Sus scrofa: one gene and its partners. The protein of the gene in region 1 interacts with the protein of each later gene in a pairwise test. Links are inferred from orthologs where the notes say so. Each region holds a gene or a part of one and is shown in the gene's direction. Other genes may lie near its edges.

What was found.
Region 2: the proteins of TFIP11 (region 1) and POLL interact in binary tests that used the Homo sapiens proteins (3 or more experiments, as listed by UniProt). The two-hybrid records come from large-scale screens. The link is inferred for Sus scrofa from reciprocal best matches to the Homo sapiens genes TFIP11 and POLL.
Region 3: the proteins of TFIP11 (region 1) and ZMAT2 interact in binary tests that used the Homo sapiens proteins (3 or more experiments, as listed by UniProt). The two-hybrid records come from large-scale screens. The link is inferred for Sus scrofa from reciprocal best matches to the Homo sapiens genes TFIP11 and ZMAT2.
Region 4: the proteins of TFIP11 (region 1) and TNNT1 interact in binary tests that used the Homo sapiens proteins (3 or more experiments, as listed by UniProt). The two-hybrid records come from large-scale screens. The link is inferred for Sus scrofa from reciprocal best matches to the Homo sapiens genes TFIP11 and TNNT1.
Region 5: the proteins of TFIP11 (region 1) and CEP57 interact in binary tests that used the Homo sapiens proteins (3 or more experiments, as listed by UniProt). The two-hybrid records come from large-scale screens. The link is inferred for Sus scrofa from reciprocal best matches to the Homo sapiens genes TFIP11 and CEP57.
Region 6: the proteins of TFIP11 (region 1) and TRAF3IP3 interact in binary tests that used the Homo sapiens proteins (3 or more experiments, as listed by UniProt). The two-hybrid records come from large-scale screens. The link is inferred for Sus scrofa from reciprocal best matches to the Homo sapiens genes TFIP11 and TRAF3IP3.
Region 7: the proteins of TFIP11 (region 1) and C6H1orf109 interact in binary tests that used the Homo sapiens proteins (3 or more experiments, as listed by UniProt). The two-hybrid records come from large-scale screens. The link is inferred for Sus scrofa from reciprocal best matches to the Homo sapiens genes TFIP11 and AIRIM.

The regions. Positions count from the first base shown.
Region 1 is NC_010456.5:44,102,709-44,106,208, reverse strand, and holds part of TFIP11 (tuftelin-interacting protein 11), read left to right. Parts: intron 1-131; coding exon 132-288; intron 289-1,614; coding exon 1,615-1,742; intron 1,743-2,170; coding exon 2,171-2,323; intron 2,324-3,500. UniProt on the Homo sapiens protein: Involved in pre-mRNA splicing, specifically in spliceosome disassembly during late-stage splicing events. Intron turnover seems to proceed through reactions in two lariat-intron associated complexes termed Intron Large (IL) and Intron Small (IS).
Region 2 is NC_010456.5:112,611,204-112,614,348, reverse strand, and holds part of POLL (DNA polymerase lambda), read left to right. Parts: coding exon 1-249; intron 250-1,265; coding exon 1,266-1,439; intron 1,440-1,978; coding exon 1,979-2,107; intron 2,108-3,145.
Region 3 is NC_010444.4:142,409,709-142,413,769, forward strand, and holds the start of ZMAT2 (zinc finger matrin-type protein 2), read left to right. Parts: upstream 1-1,261; 5' UTR 1,262-1,395; coding exon 1,396-1,413; intron 1,414-1,745; coding exon 1,746-1,839; intron 1,840-2,942; coding exon 2,943-3,066; intron 3,067-3,992; coding exon 3,993-4,061. UniProt on the Homo sapiens protein: Involved in pre-mRNA splicing as a component of the spliceosome.
Region 4 is NC_010448.4:59,360,811-59,364,999, reverse strand, and holds the start of TNNT1 (troponin T, slow skeletal muscle), read left to right. Parts: upstream 1-1,389; 5' UTR 1,390-1,394; coding exon 1,395-1,426; intron 1,427-1,535; coding exon 1,536-1,549; intron 1,550-1,792; coding exon 1,793-1,819; coding exon of another isoform or gene 1,820-1,864; exon of another isoform or gene 1,865-2,069; coding exon 2,070-2,102; exon of another isoform or gene 2,103-2,659; coding exon of another isoform or gene 2,660-2,873; coding exon 2,874-2,895; intron 2,896-4,189. UniProt on the Homo sapiens protein: Troponin T is the tropomyosin-binding subunit of troponin, the thin filament regulatory complex which confers calcium-sensitivity to striated muscle actomyosin ATPase activity.
Region 5 is NC_010451.4:27,819,570-27,823,069, forward strand, and holds part of CEP57 (centrosomal protein of 57 kDa), read left to right. Parts: intron 1-2,786; coding exon 2,787-2,942; intron 2,943-3,500. UniProt on the Homo sapiens protein: Centrosomal protein which may be required for microtubule attachment to centrosomes. May act by forming ring-like structures around microtubules. Mediates nuclear translocation and mitogenic activity of the internalized growth factor FGF2, but that of FGF1.
Region 6 is NC_010451.4:133,207,709-133,211,208, reverse strand, and holds part of TRAF3IP3 (TRAF3-interacting JNK-activating modulator), read left to right. Parts: intron 1-594; 5' UTR 595-652; coding exon 653-994; intron 995-2,893; exon of another isoform or gene 2,894-3,050; intron 3,051-3,306; coding exon 3,307-3,406; intron 3,407-3,500. UniProt on the Homo sapiens protein: Adapter protein that plays essential roles in both innate and adaptive immunity. Plays a crucial role in the regulation of thymocyte development.
Region 7 is NC_010448.4:93,747,797-93,751,912, reverse strand, and holds the start of C6H1orf109 (uncharacterized protein C1orf109 homolog), read left to right. Parts: upstream 1-1,316; 5' UTR 1,317-1,616; intron 1,617-1,791; 5' UTR 1,792-1,794; coding exon 1,795-2,069; intron 2,070-4,116. Other genes in the region: CDCA8 (borealin), read right to left, coding at 528-656, 795-891. UniProt on the Homo sapiens protein: Part of the 55LCC heterohexameric ATPase complex which is chromatin-associated and promotes replisome proteostasis to maintain replication fork progression and genome stability.

The DNA.
Region 1 (3,500 bases):
GTAGGTTTGATTGGTGAGATATTTTTCATAATGCTCTGTGACTGCCAGGTCATGCTCCCATCAGCTAAGCTTGCTTTATTACGTTTTCCTTCTTTTTCTATTAACTAAACTTTGATTTTTCTCCTTTTCAGGGTGGTAACTTTAAACCCAGTCAGAAAGGTTTTGCAGGAGGAACCAAGTCGTTCATGGATTTTGGCAGCTGGGAAAGACACACAAAAGGAATTGGACAGAAGCTGCTTCAGAAGATGGGCTATGTCCCTGGAAGGGGCCTTGGGAAGAATGCACAAGGTGTGGCAGTCCCACCCCACAGTCTTGCACTTGCTGTCAGGCAGAGGTGGGAAGAGCAGGGAGGGCAGTGGCCTCCTCTTTTCTGCTTTTTCACTGTTCGGAGGGCTGGGACCCTGCAGCCTGTTCTGCCAGCACAGATGCTGTGCTCTATGCTTCATGCTTTATCAGAACTCAAGTTACATAAAATACTTGTTTCGGCAGGAGGGAGAGGTTAGGGTTTAAATCAGGCTGACAGGCTGAGAACAGGCTTCTTTCTAGCCTGCCCGGTGTTTCTAAAAAATCAAACTGGTTGCCAATATTTAAAAAGCAGACAGTTTCACTTCCATTCTAGAGTTGCCTGGCAGTGACTGGTTTAGCTGAGTCCTTGCTGTCCCAGTCAGCACCCAAGGCCTTCTCCTGGAAGCTGCCTCCACACTCCCCTTTTACTCCAGCCCACTTTCCCTGTTCATATTAATGTTCCTGGACCCTAAAGGCATATGAGTTTGGACTCTTGCTCATGCGGGGGCAGGACAGGTAACTATTTTTTAGTTTTGCAAAAAGCCAGTTACCTGTCCTTCAGGAATATCAGTAAAACATCAGGTGTTGCCTTTTGTTTTACAACACTCACCAGTGGGATGTCATCAGTAGTATTCTCTGTAATTCAGATTCAGCCCCTAGGTATTATAAAGTTAGATATGGATTGTGGGTTGAAAACATCAGCCGTATGAAGAATCCATGGACTTGAGTGGCAATGGCATGGGAGTGAGGGAAGTGTGCTAATTGGGATTTCAACAGTACTAGCTGGAAGGGGCCTGGTAGGAAGTCTGGGGTGTGGCAGTTCTTCACTGAAATGCAGTCCTGTTTGTAAACTTTTACAAGAAAAATACTTATTTTCCAGGCTTAAACTTGTTATAGCTCATAGGAGATATGAACTCCTAAGTAAAATAGGTGGAGTTTCATATTAAATGGCAGCTTCACCTTACTTCAGTCAGAATCAATATAATATCTGAATTAATGGGCTTCCAAATGAGCAGAGTATAGAATCTAATTTGCCTGAGATCCCAGTTATAAAATATTCCTGTCCACTAAAAAAAAACCAACAAGTCCAAGTAGAAATGGAAGTCTGTATTTAGGATACAAACAATATCAGCACACTGTTTTGTGGCAGCACACACGCTCAGAAGCTTCTGGCCACACAGGAGCCAAACGGTGTCGTGAGGGCAGAAGCATGTTTCCTTCCTGGGTAGCATGTTACTGTGTGTGAGGACCAGGAGTGTGGTCTCCCTGAGTGGCTCACTCACAAGAACTGCTGTGATCTGAAGTCTGTCTTTTGCTGCAACTTGCCAGGTATCATTAACCCAATTGAAGCCAAGCAGAGAAAGGGGAAAGGCGCGGTGGGGGCGTATGGCTCAGAGCGCACCACCCAGTCCCTGCAGGACTTCCCCGTGGTTGACTCTGAGGAAGAAGCTGAGGAGGTGAGTCAGGAGATGGGCTGGATTCTGTCTCTGCCTCTTGGGACTGTTGTTTGCTCATTTGTTCACTCGGCCAGTGTTTAGAGGTCGCTTGCACAGCAGGTGCCAGACACTGCTGAAGGCTGGTGTCCTGCCGTGACCAGGCGTGGAGCCTGGTGGACAGGGAGCAGTAAAAAAGTAACCACGGTGTGGTTAGAAAGAGCAGTTGTGCCAGGAAGTACTCAGAAGAAAGTAGGTTGGCTATGTGGGGAAGGGGTCTGAGCCTCAGTATTTGTAAGGCAGGGAGTGGGCATCAAGCAGTGTCTTTGGATGGTCTTAGTGTTATGGAGGGACGGTGCTTAGCATGGTGTTCTGAAAGCCTCAGTGTCCCCACTTGCGGGAAAAAGTGGCCCTTTCTTGTTGTGATGGACTATGTTATATTCTTGATTCAGGAATTTCAGAAGGAGCTGAGCCAGTGGAGGAAAGACCCCAGCGGAAGCAAGAAGAAGCCCAAATACTCTTACAAGACAGTGGAAGAGTTAAAAGCCAAGGGCAGAATTAGCAAGAAGCTCTCTGCTCCCCAGAAAGAGATTTCTCAGGTCAAGGTATGGGGGGCCCATGGACACCTGGTCCAGGATGGAGGCTTGCAAGACACACACACAGTTAACCACAGCAGCATCAGTCACCCAACACTTGCTCATAAGGTTCCTGTGGGTCTTCTGGGCAGGCTTTCTTGTGTGTCCTGCTTTCTTGCGTGGCAGTAGCCTCTGCCCATTTCCTGCACTCCCATTTAGGCTCATTGTTGTTCCTACCCTGTGCCAGGTGCTCTTCACTACACTACAGTGCTAAATCCAGCACTCCAGCTCTGCAGCTTGCTGTCCGTGAATTCAGTGATGTTCGTGGTATTCTGTTGCTTCATCTTTAACTTTTGTGGTTTTGTTGAGAGCAGGTTAGCCTTATCTTTGTGGGGTTTTTTGTTTTGGTCTTTTGTCTTTTTAGGACCGCACCCACGGCATACGGAAGTTCCCAGGCTAGGGATCTAATTGGAGCTGTAACAGCTGGCCTACGCCAGAGCCACAGCAACACCAGATCGAGCCGCGTCTGCAACCTACACCACAGCTCACAGCAACGCTGGACCCTTAACCCATTGAGCGAGGCCAGGGATTGAACCTGCAACCTCATAGTTCCTAGTCACATTCATTTCTGCTGCGCCAAGATGGGAACTCCTGTTTTAGACTTTTTAAAATGATAGATTCCTAGAAGTACAGTCACCAGGTTAGAGAATAGGAAGGTTGCTCTCACTCACTGTGACCAGGAGTGGGCCCTCAGCCTTGAACTTAACATTAGACTTTTAGCCTCTGTTCTGTCCATGCAGTCTCTGCGTTCTCCCTCACTGTCCCAAGTAGCCAGAGAACTGTGGTGACAGGTATCTCTTGTAGTTTGTCGTAGGAGATTGTGTGTGTCATGGAACCCAAAGTCTGGAGTGGGGTTCTCAAAGGTCAAGGTGTTGTGTATCAGGTTATTTGGGGACCTGGTAGGAAATGCAGATATTTAAGATACAGCTGGAGGTTTTGCCTCAGAGATCTGGCTGGGCCCGAGGGCTCATGCTTGTTATCTTTCCCCAGGTGATGCTAACTTATATACTCTAAAGTGGTGGCGGTACTTCTGTTACTGTATAGACATGATCACATCTCCTCAGTCTTCTTCAGACATTGAAATTAGCTCATCTCCTTGGGTGCCTTTGTGGGTTTTGTATGTTTCATGTTATTTTAAAATTAAAAA
Region 2 (3,145 bases), about 69 Mb from region 1:
ATCAGCGGCCGCTACCCCACCCCCCTTGAGGAAGATGGAGAGCCTAGCCCAGCCCCCAAGGGCCTGGATAAGTGGGTCTGTGCACAGCCTTCAAGTCAGAAGGCGACCAACCACAACCCCCACATCACAGAGAAGCTGGAAGTGCTGGCCAAAGCCTACAGTGTTCAGGGAGACAAGTGGAGGGCCCTGGGCTATGCTAAAGCCATCAATGCCCTCAAGAGCTTCCACAAGCCTGTCACCTCCTACCAGGTACCTGGGGGCCAGGGAAGGTTATGTGGGGCGGTGGGGAGGGGTCCTTCTCTTTACTGGTCAGAGATTGGTGGAGACACCAGTCACAAGTAGGGATCAGGTAGAGTGGTTAAGATTTTATGATTCTGAGACTTGCACAAAGGAAAAAAGTAGGAATTTTAATGAAAGCAGATTGGCAAAATCTTGGTAATTATAGAAGCTGGGTGATGGGAACTTGGGGTCCATTATACTAGTCTCTCTACTTTGGAATTTTTTTCCATAATAAAAAGTTTTTTAAAAGTTTAGACTCTGGAGGCCAACACACCAGAGTTTGAATTCTGGTTCCCATCAATCACTAACTATGTGACTTTAGACAAGTTACTCTTTTTTTTTTTGCCTTTTTTTTGCCATTTTCTTGGGCCACTCCCATGGCATTTGGAGGTTCCCAGGCTAGGGGTTGAATTGGAGCTGTAGCCTCTGGCCAATTCAGAGCCGCGTTTGCGGCCTACACCACAGCTCACGGCAATGCCAGAATCTCAACCCACTGAGCAAGGGCAGGGATTGAATGTGCAACCTCATGGTTCCTAGTCGGATTCGTTAACCACTGAGCCATGACGGGAACTCCTAGACAAGTTACTTAAACCCTCTGAGCATCAGTTTTCTCAGTAAAAAGGGACTAAGAATAGTAGAAACACCTGTTCCCATGAGGACTCCATGAGATGACCCCTGTAGTGCAGGTTCTGATACAGGGTAAAGTGTCAGTAAATGTCCTCTCCACTGTTGCCATGGTGATGGTGACTCGGTCCCTCATTACCGCCTTTCCTCTGCTGCCTCTGCTAACCTCTGTTCCTTTGGGAACCAGCAGACAAGTCCAGCCCACTCCGCCCAAACTTTTTATCTTCACCTGCACCCAAGCTTTACACAGCTACCTGTTACCAGCCATCCAGGACACCTGCTAAAGCAGTCAGCTTCCCCCACTGGCTCTACCCGCCCATCTGCTCACTCTTCCTTCCTGCCTCTGCCTCCTCTTCCTCTAGGAGGCCTGCGCTATACCCGGGATTGGAAAGCGGATGGCTGAGAAGATCCTAGAGATTCTGGAGAGTGGGCACCTGAGGAAGCTCGACCACATCAGCGAAAGCGTGCCTGTCTTACAGCTCTTCTCCAACATCTGGGGAGCTGGAACCAAGACTGCCCAGCTGTGGTACCATCAGGTCAAATGCTGTCCCAGCCCCCACTTCAGTTTCGCTATATCTTATCTTACCCTTATGCTCTGATGAGAATGAACCCGGACTGTAGGGAAACCACTTTTCAAAGGGGCCAGGGCTCATGCTGATCCCTCTCTTGGCTCCAAGAACCGCCCTGTTGCTTGTTATCCTTGAGGCTTCATCTGTAGTGTAGCCAGAGACAAGAAGTGTGTTTCTCCTGAGGAGACCAGGCCTTAGGGCTGAGTATCCAGATCAGTGGTTCCCAAACCCAGCCATGCCCAGAATCACCCCCAGCCCACTGGAATCATGAGCCAGTTTTAGGATTGTGGCCTGGCTGGATTGGGGTGTGTCTTCTCTGCCGCCTGCCTTTCCCAAGTCCCACTGATGACAGACCCAGCTCCTGGGTTGGTCCTGCTTCAGGCCTTTCTTAGAGTCTGGGGGTGATAGAAGCCTCGTGTGTGTGTGTGCACACGCGCGCGCGCACACACTGCCTCCTCATTGGTCCTGGATCCTCATAGCCTTCCCATCTGGCTTCCTTTTTTCAGGGTTTCCGGAGCCTAGAAGATATCCGAAACCAAGCCTCTCTGACTACCCAGCAGGCCATTGGTCTGAAGCATTACCATGACTTCCTGGACCGCATGCCCAGGGAGGAGGCTTCAGAGATCGAGCAGACAGTAAGCAGATGTCCCAGGCAGTGAGCACAGCCAGGCCCTACTCTAAGGTCAGGGCCTGGCCTGAAACCAAGAACTCTTGATCCCTCAACAGGGCAGCCCAGCGGGCAGAGGAAGCTGTGGGCCACCGGCCACCGGCGCTTGGGAGGAGTGGGGAAAGAGCAAGTTCAGAGGGGTGGGGGGGCTTTAGTAGGGAAGGGTGCAACACCGGCTGTCTGTGCCAGGGTTCTCAATGTTAGGCAGAGTTAGCACTGGCTTAGGCACTAGAATGGTGTTAGGACTAGGTTAACGTTAGGGCTAGATTAAAGATGGATTATCGTCACAACTCCTTGAGGGGGAGTTCCTGTCGTGGCTCAGTGGTTAATGAACCCAACGAGGAACCATGAGGATGCGGGTTCGATCCCTGACCTTGCTCAGTGGGTTAAGGAACCGGCGTTGCCATGAGCTGTGGTATAGGTTGCAGATGCAGTTTGGACCCTGTGTTGCTATGGCAATGGTGTAGGCCAGCAGCTATAGCTCCAATTTGATCCCTAGCCTGGGAACCTCCATGTGCCATGGGTGCAGCCCTAGAAAGACAAAAAAAAAAAACAAAAAACAACAAAAAACCAACTCCTTGAGGGTATTGGGATTTGAACTGGGCTAGGTTAGGGTGGATCAGGGCAGAGGTTCCTAACATTCTTTTGATTCACAAAGTTCTTTGAGAACCTAAGGAAAGCCATGGACCCTTACTCTCCACACTTTTTTAAAATGTACAAAATTTTACATCTCTCTCCACATACATGCCCTCTGTACCCCACCCGAGGCTGGCTCAGGGGTGGGATTAGTGCTGATGTGGAAGCACAGTGCCCATAGGATTAGGTTTAGATTTAGAGAAAAGCTGGGTCAGGAGTTGAGTTCAGGTTAGGCCTGAATTAAGAGTATGGTTTTCTTAGTGTTGGATGCTTTCAGTTAAGGTTTGTGGTTGTCCTAGAAATCAGGTTTGGCCAAGATTAGGGTTTGCTTTAGAGTTGGGTTAGGGATTAATTTCATATAAAACCTCGT
Region 3 (4,061 bases), on another chromosome or scaffold:
ATGCTCTAACTGCAGAGGCAGATGGCAGACTTGCAGTGCCGTTGAACGCTGCCAACATGTGCTAATAAGATGGTTGCTGTGAACAAGTCTCTGGGAAAGTCACCTCAGGTTGAGACGATTCTGAACCACTGAGATCAGAAGTCATGTCTTAGCCTTCCACTCTTCGCTTCTGAACCAAATTCTGGGCAGTTTGACCACTGTGTGGTCTTGGCCTGTCCAGGGAGTTTTTGGTAAACAGCAAGAAGGGGCAATGACTGCTCTCTGTTTTGTTTGAGGACAGAGATGCTAGCCCAAGGGCCCAGCAGTGCCCATATTAATATGACGTCTCTCTAGCCTACCCAGTGTTAATCAGGGTGAGGCCGTCTGTTTAATAATCTTGAATGTTGAATTTAATAGGCGACCTGACAAGATGGAGATCTGATCTTTTGAGACTTTGGAGACCATTACCTATGCCTGCTCTAACTAGTCCATGTCCTGCCGTGGAGGTGGCTGTTCTAGAAGTGGTTGTATAATATATTAAATAAAATATTAAATCTAGAAGCTTGGGTAATTTGTTATCGAGGGATTTGTTTGCATAGGCCATAGAAAACGCTTGAGTGCACACTGGAGGATGCAGTGAGCTAAGAGGAACGTCCCTGGGGTGATGTTTTATTTTTGGTGAAGGGAACAGCCATGCTTCCTCCTCCCCGCAGCTGTGAGATACAGTCACCTCACTAAGTCAGTGTGTAGTGTGACATTTGCTAGAGTTCTTCACCCTAGAGTGTTGCTGATGACTGGCCTTCCCAGGTCCGATCGTGTTGATTAAATTGTGCCCTGTAGATTGAATAATTGTGATGTTTCTCAGTTGAAGGAAAAATGAGTTAACCAAGGGGTGATAGCATTGCTTCAAGATAAAGAGACAAAATGCAAACAGCGCTTTCAGTTTGTGCATTAGGAAGACTACAGCCTGTGCAAACTCTTAGGAGCTCTGGGGCCCTATCTTCAGTGCACACAGGTAAAGAGGCATCTAGAGCCCCTGATAACAGAACTTCAGCCTTAAGAAGGTTTGGAAACTCTTGGCAGTGCACGCAGGTTGGTTAGACTAGACCGGAGGGCGCTGATCTGAACTTCATTTTCCTCTTACGTAAAATGGAAGGGTTGAATCTGTGCTTGTTTTTAAAGCCAGGGTGAAAAACCCTCGCAGGCGCCCTTACTTCCGCGTTGCTTCATACTCCCCTTGCGCATGCGCCATTTCCTTGGAGCAGGGGCGGGGCCGACGATCTTGTTTTAGAAATCCTCCAGTCCTTAGCTCGTTTAGAACACGAGACTCTAAGCTTATTGGAGGGCGGGCTTGCCTTACGGCGCAAGGCCGCTTTTTACGGCATTTTCCGGCTTTCCATTCACTTCGCTGTGAAGATGGCGTCGGGTAGCGGGGTAGGTGTTGTGTGTGAGGAGGCTTGGGATGGGGGGTGCGGGGCGGCTTTTCGGCGCTGAATACCCCGCACCCGCCTGGCTTCCCGACACCTCCTGGCGATCTAACCGCCTTGGTTTGAGAGCTCCCCCGTAAGGCCCTGGCGCAGGGTCATCGGAAGCGGGAAGGTCTCGGGTTGGGGTCCTGAGGCAACCTCAGCCTCCCGGTGCTGTCCGGAGAGGCTTCGCTCTTCCCAGGTCCCGGGGCCGCCTTAGCGGCTGGGGAGCGGTTTCTTCTGTTTGTCCAGGGGTCGGACACGATTAGCGACGAATCTTCAGCCCCTTTTCCCCCACAGGCAAAAAACTTGGACTTTCGCCGAAAGTGGGACAAAGATGAATATGAGAAGCTTGCGGAGAAGAGGCTCACAGAAGAGAGAGAAAAGAAGGATGGTGGGTGCCTGTTCCATCAAGTGCTAAGTGTACTGCAGATGCGAAGCAATGGTTAGCGAGTCGGTGGGGGGTTGAAACGCGCTGCCCCCTTTCCTGTGTAACCTCCGGCAGAATAGTGCCTCCCTGGCTCCTCAGGTAGAAAAGTAAGATAGGCGTGAGGAGATGAACTGAAATGGTTTGGAGGTGCTTTCCGGCTCTGCGGTTCCCTGCTTCCTTGCCCTTCCTTTGCTTGGCTCATTTAGTGCTTTCCTCAAGTACAGGGAAGACAGTGGAATCCTCAGTAGTGATCCTCAGAAGAAGTTAAGTGGAGTGTTTTTGCTGCTGTGTATTGCTGCTATTGAACGTGGGATTCTTAACACCGGATTCTTAACCTGGGGAACGTGGGATTGATTGTTTCATCTAGTGCTTACGGCTGTTCTCTGTGCCTTACATTTTGTCAGGGAGTTGGTCTTATTTTCTTTTCTGTTTTCAGACTTGTACTTTCTTTTGCTTTACTTGCATACTCCAGCACTTTTGGTTTTTATGTAACTCATGCAATAGTACTTGGCATATAGCAGATATTTCCTAGATAATAGTTCTTCTTTAAAAAACTTCCCCAGCTCTCAGAAGATTGCCGTGTTACACATGGGGTATCTGTCTGAAAACACTAAATGAGTGGTCTTGCTTTTCTTTTCTTTTTTGTCTTTTTAGCAGCATTCGCAGCATATGAAGGTTCCCAGTCTAGGGGTCGAGTCCGAGCCATAGCTGCTGGCCTACACCACAGCTCACAGCAACACCGGATTCTTAACCCACTGAGGCCAGGGATCAAACCTACGTCCTCATGGATACTAGTCAGATTCATTTCCGCTGAGCCAGGATGGGAACGCCATAGACTTGTTGGCTTTAAAGTGGAGAAAAGATGTAGGGAGTTAAGGATTGCTTATCATTTTTGCTGTGTTGAAATTCTCTGTAGCTACTGCTAGAAGGGACTCTTTTGTCCCTTGCTTCAGGTTTCAAAAAAGAAATGAAGGTAGACTTCTGGATTTTGCATTTTATGCATTTCTTTTCCTTTCTGGCTAAGGATCTCTGATAATGAAGCGACTTCCTTCCCCATTATATTCCAGGAAAGCCCGTGCAGCCAGTCAAGCGAGAGCTTCTCCGGCATAGAGATTACAAGGTGGACCTGGAATCCAAGCTCGGGAAGACAATTGTCATTACCAAGACTACCCCACAGTCTGAGATGGGAGGGTAAGTGGCTTTTCATTTATCTCTGCATCCAGGAGTAAGTCACATAAAACTAGGTTGGTTTCAGGAAGTGTTGAGCAGGATACTTGGCCCCAGAATAATAACCTTGTTTTCTGTCATTCCATGCTTTGTTCTCCAAGGCCTCAAGTTAACATAATAGTGTCTCTACGAGGTGTCACTCTGTAGGCTTTGTTATATTAGTACTATAACTACTTCTTAATATCTTAAAGGGAATTGTTTGTTCTCCTGCCAGAGGAAGACATGAAGGAAAGGTCTACTGAGGAGATGTCTAGGGGAGGAATTAGGTGAAGCTAGAATGAAGCCCAGGAGCTGTTGATGGTGGATAAAGGGGGTTAAGGTTGTGGACTAACTAGCTGCAAAGGTTGTAGTTGTTACGGATTTCCTGGTTGTGCACCTTGCTATTAGACCAAGACTATAAGCTTTAGAAAGAAGGCTCCCACAGGAACTCTCCTTCCTTTGGCCCACCACTACTTCTCTGTCCAGTTAGGTTTTCCAGCAGGAGGATCACACAGATAGCAATGTGTGACACTTCTCTGAGCTGCTTAGTAGACCCGCTGTTGTCATTCCTCTTTGTGTTAGTTATCTGCTGCTATAGAAATGAATACATTAACCCAAGACTTAGCAGCGTAAAACAGCAGGTAGCTCACAATATCTGGGGGTAAGGAATCTGGGACTTACTTAGGTGGTTCTGGCTCAGGCTTTCTCACAAAGTTGCCCTCAAAGGTCTGCATTCATCTGAGGTATAAGTGGGTCTAGAGGGTCTGCTTCCTAGCTCTGTCATGCTGTGGTGTGGAGGCCTCTTTGTTCTAAAAAGAACTTTGATTTCAAAATACATGTTTCTTGGTCAAAAGCGACAAAATCCTTACAACAATCCACCAACCCGAGTGCTGTTTCTTTCTGTTTTCTAGGTATTACTGCAATGTCTGTGACTGTGTAGTGAAAGACTCTATCAACTTCCTGGATCACATTAATGGAAA
Region 4 (4,189 bases), on another chromosome or scaffold:
TCAGACCTCGGTGCTCTGAGGGTATGTCAGAAATTGGGAATCTTCATAAATCAACTCTATTCCAATAAAATTAAATAATAATTCAAGAAGGAGTAAGAAAAGAAATTGGGAACCTCTGGGCTCGGCTGGCAGACAGTCTGGGTGTCAGGACCAGGGTGCGGGCAGTGCCTCAGAATCTGGAGGTTTAGGAATTGAGGTCTCAGGATCTGAAATCTTATGATTGGAGGTATTAGAATTTGTGGAGTCATATTTTGGGGTATCAGGAATCGGGCCCCTGAGTCTGGGCATCCAGGTTTTGGGGTCTCATAAGCTTAAGGTTCCCAAATTTAAGGATTCAAGACTGAGGGGGTCAAGGTTTTAGGGTGGCCAGGCCCATAATCTGGAGTATCAACAGTTGGGGTGTCAGAATCCGGAGATATGAGGACTTAGCCATCTTCAGAATTCCTAAATTGGGATCTGTGGGTATTAAGATTTGGGGACCTCAGATTTGGGGGAGTCTTAGTATTTAGGGGTCAGGATGAGGTCTGGGGACAGAAGCTGCTCTTGTGTGTCCTGTCCCCTCCACAGCTGTGGGTGAAGGTGACTGATAACCAGCCAAAGGGGAGGGGACAAGGGTGGCAGAGGGGAGTGGGTATGATGAATTCTCCCAGAACCCCTCCTCCTAGAATACTTTTTAGATGTCCTCTGTGTCACCCTCCACGACATCCCCCCAAAATAGCCCTTGGGGGTGGGGCAGCTATTGTCTTCAGGCCACTGTGTCTTCCCCAAATACCTTCCCCTAATCCCTCCTCAGATCAGGTTCCAAAGGACTTGTCATAAGACAAAAGAGGGCAGCTGTGGTGAGGGGGTGGGGCCTGTGGCTTTGGGGTTGGTGGGGCCATACCTTCCCAAGCCCTGTCTTCATCCGCGGTTTAGGAATCTTTGGGAGTTGAGGGCCCCCAGCTCCTCCTCCCCCAGACCCAGGGGTCCTGTCCCAGCCCCTTCTCCCTCAGACCCAGGGGTCCTGCCCCAGCCCCTTCTCCCTCAGACCCAGGGGTCCTGCCCCAGCCCCTTCTCCCTCAGACCCAGGGGTCCAGCCCCCAGCTCCTCCTCCCTCAGACCCGGGGGTCCAGCCCCAGGCCCCCGGCCTCAGACCCAGGATCCAGCCCCCAGCTCCTCCTCCCTTGGACCCAGGGGTCCAGGTCCCAGCCCCTCCTCCCTCAGACCCTGGAGTCCTGCCCCAGCCCCTCCTCCTCCAGACCCAGGGGTCCAGCCCCAGCCCCCCCCCCCCCCGTCAGACCCAGGATCCAGCCCCCAGCCCCTCGTCCCTCAGACCCGGGCGTCGGGACCCCAGGTCGGGGATCCCGAGTCCCTCGTTTGGACCCCCGTTCTCTGCCTCTCTAGGTCACGCCAGGATGTCTGACGCCGAAGAGCAGGAATATGAGGAGTGAGTGATGCTGGCGGGAGGGCTGGGGGCTCGGAGCGGGGGAGACCCCCTCCGCCTCCGAGGCGCCTAACTCTCCCCCTCCCTCTTTTCTCCCCGCCCGGGTCCTCAGGGAGCAGCCTGAAGGTGAGTGCACTTCGGCCCACCCCGCCCGACCGGCCCGACGCCCATCCTCCTGGGAGGGAAAAGCCCATCGTGCCCGGCGGCCGCTGAGGCTGACGGGTCCCCCCCCCCGCCCCGCCCAGCTGAGACTCGAGCCCGAACCTGGGTCTCTGCCCCCTCACCCACTGGGTCCCCTCTCTGAAAGCCCTTCCACCCCGGGTCCCCCTGGGCCCCTAACCCCTCTTCTCTCTCCCCGACCCCTTCCAGAAGAGGAGGCTGCTGAGGAGGAGGAAGGTGAGGCCCCGGACTCCGCAGGTCTGGAGCTGGACGCAGGTCTGGGGGGGTGGGGGACAGGCGGGTGGGTGGGGGGCCCGCTGGTCCAGGGGTGCAGGCCGGGCGGGGCGCGGGGCTTTCGGGGTTCTCGGCCTCAGTTCCTTTAACAGCCTCTCCCCTCTCTCCCCTCTCTCCCCCCCTGCATCCGGGCCTGGCCGCTCCCCTCCCCTGGCTCCCCAAACCCTCGCTTCTCCTCCTGCCCCCTCCCCAGCCCCCGAGGAGCCAGAGCCGGTGGCAGAGCGAGGTAACCGCGGCTGCTTCGCTTCCTGAGACCAATTGCGGGGTGTCCTCTGGGCCCTGACCTCCACGAGAACTCCCTCCCCGCCCCCATAACCCGCCCCGGACCCGGTCCTTTAAGCCCCGGAGAGCCCGCGCGCCCTCTGGTGGCCACGAAGGGAAATAGCCTCGCAGCGGCTTTAACCCGTTCCCTTCCTTCTTAAAGGGACCGACACCCAAGCCTTCTTCCCCAGACTGGAGGAATACTTATAGAAGGGTTGGATGTTTGCGGAGAGGCACCCCTCCTCCCCTCTCATCTTCGCCTGTTATTTTTCTCCCCCATATACATTCAAAGGTTGGGGCCTGGGTTGCAGAAGGGGGTAGCAGTGGGGGTCTGGATTCCTGTGTCCCCAAGGGGGAGGTGGCTGGGGACACAACTCCAGGGTCCCCGAGTGAACAGAGGGCTTGGGGAGGAGGGCAGGAGCTCTGGGTCTGCAGAAGGAGGGTGGGGGGTTTGGAAGCCTGGTTTCCCAGCGAAGCGAGTGGAGGGGGGGAATCCCCACACCGGTTCTGAATGTATATCTGATGCGTGTGACCCCTCCCTCCCTTTACGGCCACCCCGATTTCCCTTCTCCTCTTTTACCCCCGCCATACCCCTCCCCCAGGGCTGCAGGACAAGGGAACTGGGCCTGGGGACCAAGTCTTGGGGGGGCGAGGAGGGCCCACCTTTGGGTGTGTCGCGTCCTCCCACGCCCACAAACTCTTGCTAATTGTGTCTTTGTATCCCCCCCCCCAACAGAAGAGGAGCGCCCCAAGCCAAGGTGAGATCCTAGGGCTGGGGGTGGGGTCTCTTAGATCTAGCCCCTGCCTTCAGAGACAGGGTGCAAAAAAAGACGGGAGGAGGAGTTCCCGTCGTGGCGCAGTGGTTAATGAATCCGACTAGGAACCATGAGGTGGCAGGTTCCATCCCTGGCCTTGCTCCGTGGGTTAAGGATCCGGCATTGCCGTGAGCTGTGGTGTAGGTCGCAGACACGGCTCGGACCCCGCGTTGCTGTGGCTGTGGTGTAGGCCGGTGGCTACAGCTCCGATTGGACCCCTAGCCTGGGAACCTCCATAGGCCGCAGGAGCAGCCCTAGAAAAGGCAAAAGACAAAAAAGAAAAAAAAAAAAAAAAAAAAAAAGACAGAGGAGAGGGGGAGGGACACCTACGAAAGGACAGTGATTCTGTCCTTCAGCAAACATTTCTGGTGAACTTCCCATGGTATTTGATGAGTCAGAGTGTGGCTGCCCTGCTGGTGAAGCAGACCCAGATACAAAGATGGTAGCACAGAAGAGGCCCTAGCTATGCCCGGTGGCAGTCATGGAGGGCTTCCTGGGGGAGGTGCTGCCCTGAGTCCTGGGAGTTTGCTAATTGAAGGAGGTGGGAGAGATTGTAGTCGAGGAAGCAATGCAGAAGGTGCAAGGTCCAGCGGCCAGATCTCGGCCAGTCTTTGAGGATCCAAGCTCTGCAGACAGGTGGAGGCCAGGCTGTGAGAGCTCCTTGGGAGAGGGAGAGGAGACCTGGAGGTGGGGACCTTGGGGCCAGAGATTGGTGTTGCAATCTGAGCATGAGATGCAGTGGACAGTGGAGTTTCACCACGGCTTGAGGGATGAGGAGGCAGAGTCAGATGGGAGTGAGGACACAGCTGGGCTGCAGCATCAGGAAAGCTCGTTGGAGGCAGGAAGGCCTCAGGTGCGGAGAATGTCAGGCGAAGGCCATTGCAAGCTGAGCACACAGCATGTGCAAAGGCCCGGGGGCGTGAAGCCATGTGGCATGGCCAGAGAACTGTAGAATTTGGTGAGTTTTCAGGGAAGAAGGCCTAAGCCTGGGCAGGGGGCAGGGGGTGGAAAGGGGGCCACAGACGGAGAGATTTCCAGGTTGGGGAGCTCAGCTGGGGCATGGAGCCATCCGTTACCTGGAGTCTGGAGATTGGGAGAGAGTCTGAGCTGGAGACCAGTGTTGGTGAATCCTCAGTAATTGAGGAGAATCCAAGTCACAGATGAATGATATTAATCACTAGCATTTCCTACAAATGAATCAGAGGGTAAAACTCTCACCAGGGGACAAGGAGACAGC
Region 5 (3,500 bases), on another chromosome or scaffold:
TTCCTGAGCTATAAAATGGAGATACTTTCTCACTTGTCAGTTACCTGTCAGGATTGTCATGAGGATCAACCCAGCTGATGAAAGTGTAGATTGTAAAGTCTTTTGGGAGTTTGAGTTTATGGATTGTTGTTTTTAATACTCATATGAGAGGAGAGAGCATAAACGTTCTGCTTAAAGTATCCTTTGTCCTACCATAGTTCTCAAGTACCATGATTGGATGGCATATAGCATTGAAGGCAAGAATTCTCTTGAACTCTTCCATAATCTCAGATGACTGCTACTTTTAGAAAGAGATGTTTACAAAGTTAGCTCTTGGTTGGCATCTGTGAACTTGAGTGATATTTTCCTATACTGATATAGAACTTTAACAGTAAGTGATAAAAGAGTGGTTCACTGCACTTAAAACTGTTTATACAAACAATGTTGAACACCTGCCTTCCTTCTCGGAGTCAGGAATATGACCAGCCTCCAATAAAAACCTTGACCACTGAGTCTCGTGAGCTTCGTTGGTAGATGCCATTGACAGACCTGTCACTGTTAGGTTGCTGGAGGAATTAAGCACATCCTCCTGTATGACTCCACCTGGAAAGGAATTGTGGAAGTGCCTGATCTTTTACAGTTTTTCCTCTCTCTGATTTTGCTCTGTATCCCTTGCTGTAATAGATAGTAGCCATAAGTATAACTCTATGTCGAGGTTGCCAGTTTTTCTAGCAAATCACTGAGTCCAGGGCTGGTCTTGGTGACCCCTGGCTCTTATGATGACAGTATTCGGAACCTTCCCAAAATTCAAGTTCTGAGATAACCTGCCTGGAACCAACCTTGCTGGCAGACCTTTCTAAGGATAGCAGTCTCAAGTCAATATTTACATTTTCTTCACTGCCTTCCTATGACATTTGTGCAATTTGTTATTTGCTAGGAAGCCAAATCGAGCAGGATTTTGATGAAATATGTGTGACAAGTTGAAGGGCAAATCTTGAACTGTTAAAAAATTTTACAAGAGCCAGGAGGCAGTGAATTTAACAAAAGTGGTTTGTTCTCATTTTGTTTTGGTTTGGTTTTTGGCAGATTATTTATGCACAGTTCTTCTGTTAATATTTGTGCAGTATTTGGTAATACTAATAAAATTTGTTTTGAAAATCATAAAGTGACAGCATTCCTCTGTGGTGCAGTGGGTTAAAGATCTAGCATTGCCCCAGTTGTGGCTTGGAGTCGATCCCTGGCCCAGGAACTTCCATGTGCTATGGGTGAAGCCAAAAAAGAAAAAAAGTAAATTAATTAGGAAAAGAAAGTCATAAGTGAATTTGCTCATGGTTTATCTTCATTATATGTTAAATGTTTCCTAACCATTGTTCTTTGAATAGTAGTTGTTATAAATGATAGGATTCTAGTAGGTTGTATGGAGGCATAAGGTTCTCTGTGAAAATGGTATTTAAAGTTAAGCTATGTGATTATTCATGGTATTTTGCAAGAGCCTTGGCAGTATTATGTATTTTAAGAATTGAAAACACCCTGTTTTCCAGCCGCCTCCAAAACTTGATGTCATTTTGCCCAAAAGTTTAAAAAAATGCCAACTCTTAGTTGTTGTTGCTTGTGACCACCCTTTCACAGTAGAGTAGCATTAAGTACCACTTTGAGATTTTACTACCCCTTCCAAGGTCTTTGCTGTCTTAGTTTCCACAGCCATAGTGTGTTGTTTTGTTTTTCAATTTGCTTTCTTAAGTTTCCACAGCCATAGTGTGTTGTTTTGTTTTTCAATTTGTTTTCTTAAGTCAACTGGAAAATTGCGTGAATTTTAAGATGGCAGTACAATCTCCAGTTTTTAATAAGATTCAGATACAGTACAGTTATTTTGATGACCTTTGTTTATTCCAGGAGGCCATTTACTGTATTGTAAATATTCATTGTTCCTTTGTACTTTTGGACATAGATTATTGTGCTTTATAGTCATAGTTAGCCAAAGGTAAGAGTTGAGAACCTAGTTTCCTGTGGCTATTTGAATAAGAATGGATGTCTGAGAGTTTTGAGCAGCTAGCAGCCCTATCTTCCATCTGAGCTTTTCCCACTCAACCTCTTTCTACCAATAAGAAGTCACCTATAACAAACAAAACTCCCCAGTTAGCATCCCCTGCACTCGAAATTGTCATGTGGAACATAATCCCAAATTGAAGAGAATGACAAATGACACACTGGTGTATGTGTGGAAATAGAGTTTTATGTTTAGATGTTTGATAAACTTCAATGTTTCTAATGGCTTCCCTCTTCTTTTCCCCAACTGAATGTAAAATCTTTGAGACAGTGTTCTGCCTTATTTTCTTTCCGTTTATCACAGAGTTTTGGACTTTGATAGATTTACAGAAAGTATATAGATTTTCAGAAAGTATTTAGTTGATTGGGGATAGATTAATTCAGTTGCTTTGTACCAGTTTTTGATACTATAAAAAATATTTTCTTTTCCAAATTTATATCTTAAAGTACATATTTTTTAAAGAAACTATATTAAGTCCTTTGTGAGTACTATATTTAAGTATCTGTGCAACATGTGTTCAAGTTGTGTGAATATTATTTCCTATTTATGGTGTTTGGCATATGGTTGTATTTAGACTTATAACACTTTAAAAGCTTTATTATTTTTAAGTAGTGATTGATTCTGTTGTGTATGGTCATTGGATTCTATTTTTTCTGTTGTCACTATCAGTGGAACATAGGACAGTCCAATTCTTAGTCATGAACATGCTATTTGTGGTTTAAATTTTTGAAAAGATAATTTCTGTATTTTTATTTTTCAGAACATCTTAGCAGAACCATCAAATCTAGTGGAAGTATGGTTCGCCATTCCTCATCTCCATATGTAGTATATCCACCCGATAAGCCTTTCCTTAACAGTGATCTACGACGCTCCCCAAATAAGCCTACATTTGCCTATCCGGAAAGCAACAGCAGAGGTAATAGAGCCTAACAAAATAGATGTGGGTTTTGCATGTGTTTGCTCACTGATAAAACCTCTTAATTGTGTCTTCCATTTAAAATTAGAGGAGAGGAGTTCCAGTCGTGGCTCAGTGGTTAACAAATCCGACTAGGAATCATGGGGTTGCCGGTTCGATCCCTGGCCTTGCTTAGTGGGTTAAGGATCCGGCATTGTCGTGAGCTGTGGTGTAGGTCGCAGATGCGGCTCGGATCCTGCGTTGCTGTGGCTGTGGTGTAGGCCGGCAGCTACAGCTCCAATTCAACCCCTAGCCTGGGAACCTCCATATGCTGCAGGAGCGGCCCAAGAAATGGCAACAAAAAAAATAAAAATAAAAAAAGACGTAAAATTAGAGGAGAATATATTTCCCCCTTCCTGTTTTTAACCTCTTCAAAACATGCCTTCTTTTGTTGTTTATTAAACGTCATCATCTACCAGATCCTCGAAACTAAATTACTTTTAAGTCATTTGGGACTGCTCTGTCATTTCCAGCATCGTTCAGGAACCAAGACTTGTGTTTTTCTTCTGAAATATCCCA
Region 6 (3,500 bases), on another chromosome or scaffold:
TTACACCACGCTCAGGACCACGCCCAGGACCAGGCTACCTGCTAAGGGCTAAGCAGAGGCCAGTGGGTGCAGGTCATAGGACCAGTTACACCTTGCAGGGTGTGGTTATTCCTCTAGGCCTCGAGAAAAGTCACCCGCCTATTTCAGTACAGGTGAGCCAAGAGAGCAGTAAAAATGCTGGCTTTCCTTTCAGACGGGGGAACAGGGAGCCTAGTGAACTGATTCTCTAGAAGTCCTTGTAAAAGGAACACACCCCAATCGGCTATCCGAGAGGCTATAAGCTTTTAGTGATTTTTATCCATGATTTTTCATGTTCCCCTAACTAAAAGAAGCGTGAGAAGTTTGGTCAAGGAAGACATGGCAGCCAGAGGGCTCTTGCCACTTTGTAGGAGAAACACAGCCAGAGAAGAGCAGAAATCAGTCCAGAGTCAGGACCCAGGAGTCATGAGTCCCAGTGTGACGTCATCTCCTCCTCAGTTGTCAGCCCCCACATACGGGACGCTGTGCTATTTCTGCCCCCTCGTCCAGGGAGATGGTCATTTTTCTGCCCATCTCCTGACCCCTCCCCTTTGCCTCCCTCTTGGCCCTTGGCAGACCCGCGCAGCTATTCCAGGAACGGGAAGCCAACACAACAGGTGCTCAGGAGGTCATCATGCTCAGCCCAGACCCCAGGCCTGCCCCTGGCTTGGCCCGGTGGGCTGAGAGCTACGAGGCCAAGTGCGAGCGCCGGCAGGAGACCCGTGAGAGCCGCCGCCGCCGCCCCAACGTGACCACTTGCCGCCAGGTGGGGAAGGCGCTGAGGACCCAGCAGAGGGAGCAGTTCCAGAAAGCACGACAGCAGCAGTTTTTCAGACTGAGGCACCTGGAGGTGGAGGAGAAAGGCCAGGCAGAGCGCTCGCAGACCAGGCAGCCAGGTTCCTCCAGGGCAGGACAGGCACCTGACCTCAAGGAGCCCTGGCCTTGGGCCAACAGGATCTCTTCCCCTGGACAGCAGGTGGGCCGTGTCGATGGACATACTGCTCTGGAGGGGGTAGGGTGGGCTACTGAGGCAGTGGGTGGGCTCCAGGTCACTAAAAAGTGATTTAAATTGAGTCCCTTCTTCCTCAGTCATAAGTAAGTCTCCCTTAGGCACTTATTCAGATATTTCTGTGGTTGGGTTTTTTTGGTTGAATGTTTGTTTGTTTTTGTTTTGTTTTAAACTTGCTTTTTTAGGAGAAGAAAAAAAAATTTTTTTTTTTTTTTTTTGGTCATTTTGCCATTTTTTAGGCCACTTCCGCGGCATATGGAGGTACCTAGGCTAGGGGTCAAATTGGAGCTGCAGCCGCCGGCCTACACCACAGCCGCAGCAACCAGGGATCCGAGCCATGTCTGTGACCTACACCACAGCTCACGGCAATGCCGGATCCTTAACCCACTGAGCAAGGCCAGGGATCGAACCCGCAACCTCATGGTTCCTAGTCGGATTCGTTTACTACTGAACCGTGACGGGAACTCCAGGAGAAGAAAAATTTTTTAAACAACCCCATTGCTAATTCCTAGTATCAGTTCAAGTCTAGTCTGTCTCAACAAATCTAGTGCATTCAATCAGCCATTGTTCCACAGGTCTTACTGTGGGCCAGGTACACAGGCCCGTCTTCTTGCTGCTCCCTGGAAACACATGCACACAACCACACTCACACACAATCACAGATACAACCACCCCCACACACGAACACACACACACACAACCACCCCCCCCACACACACACACACTCCTCCTCTCCATTTCTCTGTAAGGCTGTTGCACCACCACCGTCTCGCTTTGGCGTGGGCCATATATCAATTCTACTAAATTCATTCATTTAAAGCCACATCTGGTCCAGAAAGCCCCAGCTTCCTATGCTTCTCCAGGCCACCTCTGCTCTCTGCGGTCCTTATGAGGTTATAAATCTTCTAAGATTGTGTGACTCTTAGAGGGCCCAACAGTCTGGCCTGAAGAGGAGCCGTGTTGGCAAAAATCAGGGTATGCTGAAATGAGCTCAGCCAGCAAACCATCGGTGTCCTCCTCTCCATGCTGGGAGCACACAGACGGCAGGGCGGGGTCCCAGATCGCTGGAGGTGCCTCGTATTGCGCTGCACCCAGAGCAGGTGCCCGTCAGGCCCTCTTAACCAGTGCCTCTGCTCTCCAAAACTGTAAAATAAAACCAACTGTGCACTTTCTAAGGCAGGAAGGTTTCAGAATGCTTTGTTGAAAAAATAATTTTAGGGAGAAAAACAACAGAAATCACAGTTACCTAAAGAACTCCTCCTGGGCCGATCAGGCATTTAAGGTTTCTTTTTTTCTTTTTTCTCACAGCCTCACAGAGACAACACCAAGTCCTTAACTCACTGAGTCACAATGGGAACTGCTGTCGTTTAAGGTTTCTTGAGATTGAGTTAGTCTTCAAAGTTAGTTGCCACAGGCATTTCTTACTTAGCCTTTGTCGTGGCGCGGCGGAAACGAATCCAACTAGGAACCATGAGGTTTCGGGTCAATCCCTGGCCTCGATCAGTGGGTTAAGGATCCAGCGTTGCCGTGAGCTGTGGTGTAAGTCGCAGATGTGGCTCGGATCGGTGTTGCTGTGGCTGTGGTGTCGGCCGGCAGCTGTAGCTCTGATTAGACCCCTAGCCTGGGGACCTCCATATGCTGCGGGTGCGGCCCTAAAAAGACAAAACAAGACAAAACAAACAAACAAAAAATATACATATGTATGTATGTTACAAACAGAATTGTCGAGTTCATAGGAAGAAAATGACCAAAGAGCAGAGTAAAACCGTGCCAGCTCCTCCCACACCCTCCCCCGGCTGCTCCCTTTCCCTGCTCTTCACACAAAAGCTCGGCACTGTTCCAGCCCTTTCTGAGAGGAGGGAGCCATCTCTGGAGGGCGGAGGGCACTTTGGAGGTCATCTCCTCCCAGCTCCGCACTGGACAGGAGACCGAGACCCAGAAAAGGCAGGCCTGATCCCGGGCCCTCCGGCCCCCTCTGACCAGCTCTTGCCACGGGCCACGCCAGCGGCTGAGAGCGGCTAAGGTAGAGGGGGGTCGAGAGAGAGAGAGAGAGAGAGAGAGAGAGAGAGAGAGAGAGAGCGGCCAACCCAGCCCCCCGCTGCCCATTCCCACCCTCCAGGACAGGGGAGGCAGGGCGGGGACCAGCTCAGAGCTGCGAGGGGGTCCTTTGGTGTTCTGGACCCAGCGCTTGGTCGCTGGGTCAGCTTTCTGCAGTCACATGCAGAATCCTGTCCCGGAGGCCCTGCCTAGGCTTTCAGCCTCCCCCACTTGCTTCCCAGGTGTCCGGGACCAGCGCCGAGGTCTTTCCAGCCCAGCGGCATCCTCCCTCGGGCGCCCGGAGAGACTCTGCCGTCCAGAAGCTGCCCAAACAGCACCGCGGTAAGAGCAGCGCCCTGTCCCTCGCTGGGGCCTGCAGAGATCTGGCCTCAGAGTCCCAGCTCGCTGGCAGCGGAGAGTCCCTGCCCTCAGCACT
Region 7 (4,116 bases), on another chromosome or scaffold:
CAGTGGGAACTCCCTGATCTGCCCATTTTAAAACTGGCAATTTCCATAAGCAGAAGGACCTGCTTGGGGTTATCCTTCCACCTGAGCTCTGGTAACAGACCAAGTTATTCATTTGTTTGTTTTTAAATGGTTGGATCAAAAAAAAAAAATCTTATAATGTGAATCCACATTTTAGTATGTCCATAAATACATGTTTATTGGAATACAGCTGTGCCCATTCATTACAGCTGTTTCGGAACTATCACAGCAGAGATGAGTAGTTTTCAATGAGAACCATTTGGCCCATAAAGCCTAAAATATTTACTACCCGATTCTGTAGAGAAAATGTTTGTTTGCCTACCTGCACAAGTAGATGAGGTTAAAAGCAAAGGAGAAAAATAAAGCAAGGCAGTGAGACAGAGTGGGGATGGGTAAGGTTGCAGTTTCCTACAGGGATCTTGGACGACTTCAGGATGAAGATGAAGGCTGTCATTGGAACCACAGAAGGGCTCCAGGTCGAGGCCTGGGGAAACTCTAGCAGCTCTTACCGAAGTACTCGAGCCAGTTCATCTCGCGCAGTGCCTTGGGGAGTCGCAGGATCTCGATGTTGTACAGGTTATCCATCTCCTTGAGGAGGTTCTGCCTGTCTGACTGAATTTGCTTGGATCGTATTTGCACTGCAAGAGGGCAGAGCGGACAAGACGTGGGTCACCAGTGGGCAAACGGGGCCTGGAATCCGTGCGGCCTGCGCCCCAACCCGCCAGCACCCCGCGATTGTCCCAGATGCCAGCGACCTCCCGGGCTCCGCCCCTTACCTTCACGGTCGAAGTCTTTAAGAAAGGAAGCGAGCTTTCGGCTCCGTAGCGAGTTGTTCTTGGCCACCCGACTGCCGCCTTTCCTAGCCGGAGCCATGGCACTTCGCTGGAGACTGCGGGGAGAGAGGGGCCAAGCCAAAGGGTGTCAGCGGCGGAGAAAGGGAGGGAAAGGGGGCCGCGAAGGAGCAGGAGAGGGCGGAGGACACCCCAGGGGGGTTGGAAGGGGACCCCTGCCCTTCCCGGCATGAGCATAAACGATTCGCGAGGCACTCACCTGTGGGCCCCGGTAATAGGGGCTGAGAAAACCCTGGCTGCTTCAGCTGAGAGGGAGCGGCTCCGGGACTAACCGGACGTGCGACCGCCGCCACCAAATTCAAACTGCCACAAGCTGACCAATGAGAAGCCGCCGTCTTAGAGGGTCCCACAACAGCCAATCGCAGGGACGCTCTGCGATCGGCCAGTCAATTCACACGCAGGACTACAGCACCCAGAAGTCATTGCAGTTTGACGGCATATTTTCGCGACTCTGTAGCCACGTTGGGGCATGCGCAAAGAGAGTCCCTAAGGCTCTTGAGGGCCTAGAGAGGTCCTCAGACTTTAACTGCCTTAGCTTTAACTTTTGCCGCTGGTTTAGGGAAGGCGAGCCGTAACTTCATGGAGAGGAGACAAGGTTCGGGTTCAGGAAACTCGAGACGGCCCGGGAAACCCACAGTCTGAAACAGAAAACTACCCGAAGCCGGATGAGCCTCCTGCGAGGAATAGTCAAGAAATCTTTCCCGAGGTGGGAAATAAGGGTCCTGCCTTCCGAGAGCCTGTGTAAAGGTAAGACAACCCCTCACTCTAGAAACTCCCGTCGGGAGGGATAGACAGCTACCTGAGGAAACCCTGGGTTAGCTGGACCTCACTTGAGAACGGAAATAACTCCTACCGACTTGGTACTTCCCCTACCGACTTGGGACTCTAGGGCTGTGTCTTTTTTTTTTTTTTCCTCCCACAGAAGATGACTCAAGTTGGGCCTTTGCTTGCCGTGCAGGAGGCCCTAAGGAAGTGCTTTCTCGTGGTGGAGGAGCAGCAAGGCCTGTGGCAGAGCGTTCTTAAGGACTGCCCGCCGCTCCTGGCCTCCCTCAGTAACCTGGCAGAGCAGCTGCAGGCCGCACAAAATCTGCGATTTGAAGATGTGCCGGCACTTCGGGCCTTCCCAGACTTACAGGAGCGGCTGAGACGCAAGCAGCTGGCGGCTGGTGACATTGTCCTGGACAAGCTAGAGGAGAGGCTGTAAGAGGTTTAGTGGCTCTGTTCTTGGTGGAAAGATTTTAAAGCTAGGTGTTTAGAAAACTAGGATCAGTTAGAAGGATGTTTTTCTCCTTACTTGAGAGCTTTGTATTTGGGGATGTGTCAACCTTACGTGCTTTTCATCTGTTGCAATGGGACCTCTGTCAAAAAGCCACTTTCTGACATTTCTTTTGTCAGGCTAGGGGTGGCAATGGTGGACTTCGTAAAAGTTACCAAAGCAGAACAGAAAAACAGTGGAGAAAGCTTATTAGCCCTCCTCTGTAAGTTTTTCTTTGGTAAAAAGCAGCAAAGAGCTGTACTATAAACTTAGTGGGTGCCAGAGCTGAGGGTTTTACGTCCATTATCCGTAAAATCTTTTCTGCACCTCTATGACTTAACCTCACTTAATCTCATTTTTCCGGTGAGGCAGCTGAGGCCCAAGCAGATTGCCTGTGGTCCTGCAATTAGTAAATGGTAAAGCTGGGATTCTCATCCAAGTGTATCTGACACCAAGGCCGGAGCTCTTAACCACTACTTTGTTCTGCTGTACATTGGTGTGTCTGTGCCAGGAGTGGTACCCCTCTAAGCTCTCGTTATGCCTAGTGTTAGACTCTCTGGCTTCGAGTTATAGGTAATTGAGGATAGAGGAGAGACAGGGAACTTATGGCCTTTCCTTGACCAGGACAAAAGAAGGTTCTAGTGTATAGAGTCTGTGCTGTTAACTAATAGGAGACTGTCAAAGATGAGTGCCTTCTTGGTATTCATTTGTTTAAAAAAAATTTTATTAACAGCCTATAGGAGAGTTCCTGTTGTGACTCAGTGGATTAAGGACCCAGTGTTGTCTCTGTGAGGATGTGAGTTCAATCCCTGGCCTCACTCGGGGGGTTAAGGATCCAGCATTGCTGTAAGATGCAGTGTCGGTCACAGATGCAGCTGGTGTTGCCATGGCTTTGGCATAGGCCTCAGCTGCAGCTTTGATTTGACCTCCGGCCCAGGAACTTCCACATGCCACAGGTGCGGCTGTAAAGAGAGAGAAAAAAAAAAAAAAAAAGTAAAGAAAAGAAACCTATGGGGAGTTCCCGTCGTGGCGCAGTGGTTAATGAATCCGACTAGGAACCATGGGGTTGCGGGTTCAGTCCCTGCCCTTGCTCAGTGGGTTAATGATCCGGCGTTGCCGTGAGCTGTGGTATAGGTTGCAGACGGCTCGGATCCGGCGTTGCTGTGGCTCTGGCGTAGGCTGGTGGCTACGGCTCCGATTAGACCCCTAGCCTGGGAATCTCCATATGCCGCGGAAGTGGCCCAAGAAATAGAAAAAAAAAAAAAAAAAGAAAGAAACCTATGGGATGCCAAGCACAGGGTGCTGGGTCTACAATAAACCAGACTTAAGTTCTTTGGTTGATTAAAAGAGATAGACAGTCAATTAAGTTTTGTCATGGTACATTCTAATATAGTGACCTTTTATTTCAATTGATTACATATTTGTATGTGGGTATGGACTGTTATTTTAAATCTTTTTTTTTTTTTTTTTTTTTTTGACCGCACCCACGGCATGAAAAAGTTCCTGGGCCAGGGATCAAACTCAAGCCATAGCAGTAACCAGAGCCACAGCAGAGACATCACTGAACCACCAGGAAACCCCTATTTTAAGTGTTTTTAAGTCGTGAGTCACAGTCAAACATTTTTGAAAGCTGCAGTTCTAGGCTAGGGAATGCCTTGCCCTTTGGGAAGTTGTAGCTTTCTTCTTGGTGGCTGGGCCCCTTGGAGTCACCAGTGGAATAATAACAAAATTTACTATAAGCCAGGCACTTCCCTAAGCACTTACATTACTGCATTTAATCTTCGCAGCAGTCTTTTTCATTCATTCATAGGACAAGTGTTTGTCGTTCTCTGTGCCAGTCCGGATATTCTAGGCGCTTATGATGAATAGTGAACAAAAGAGACTGTATTCATGATTGAGAATAAGTAGCTTTTCTAAGATCCCCAGTTGTCTGTGTGCATCAAGAGCCCAGACTTGGCCCATTTGCTGGGTTTGGGGTGAGAGGTGACATTA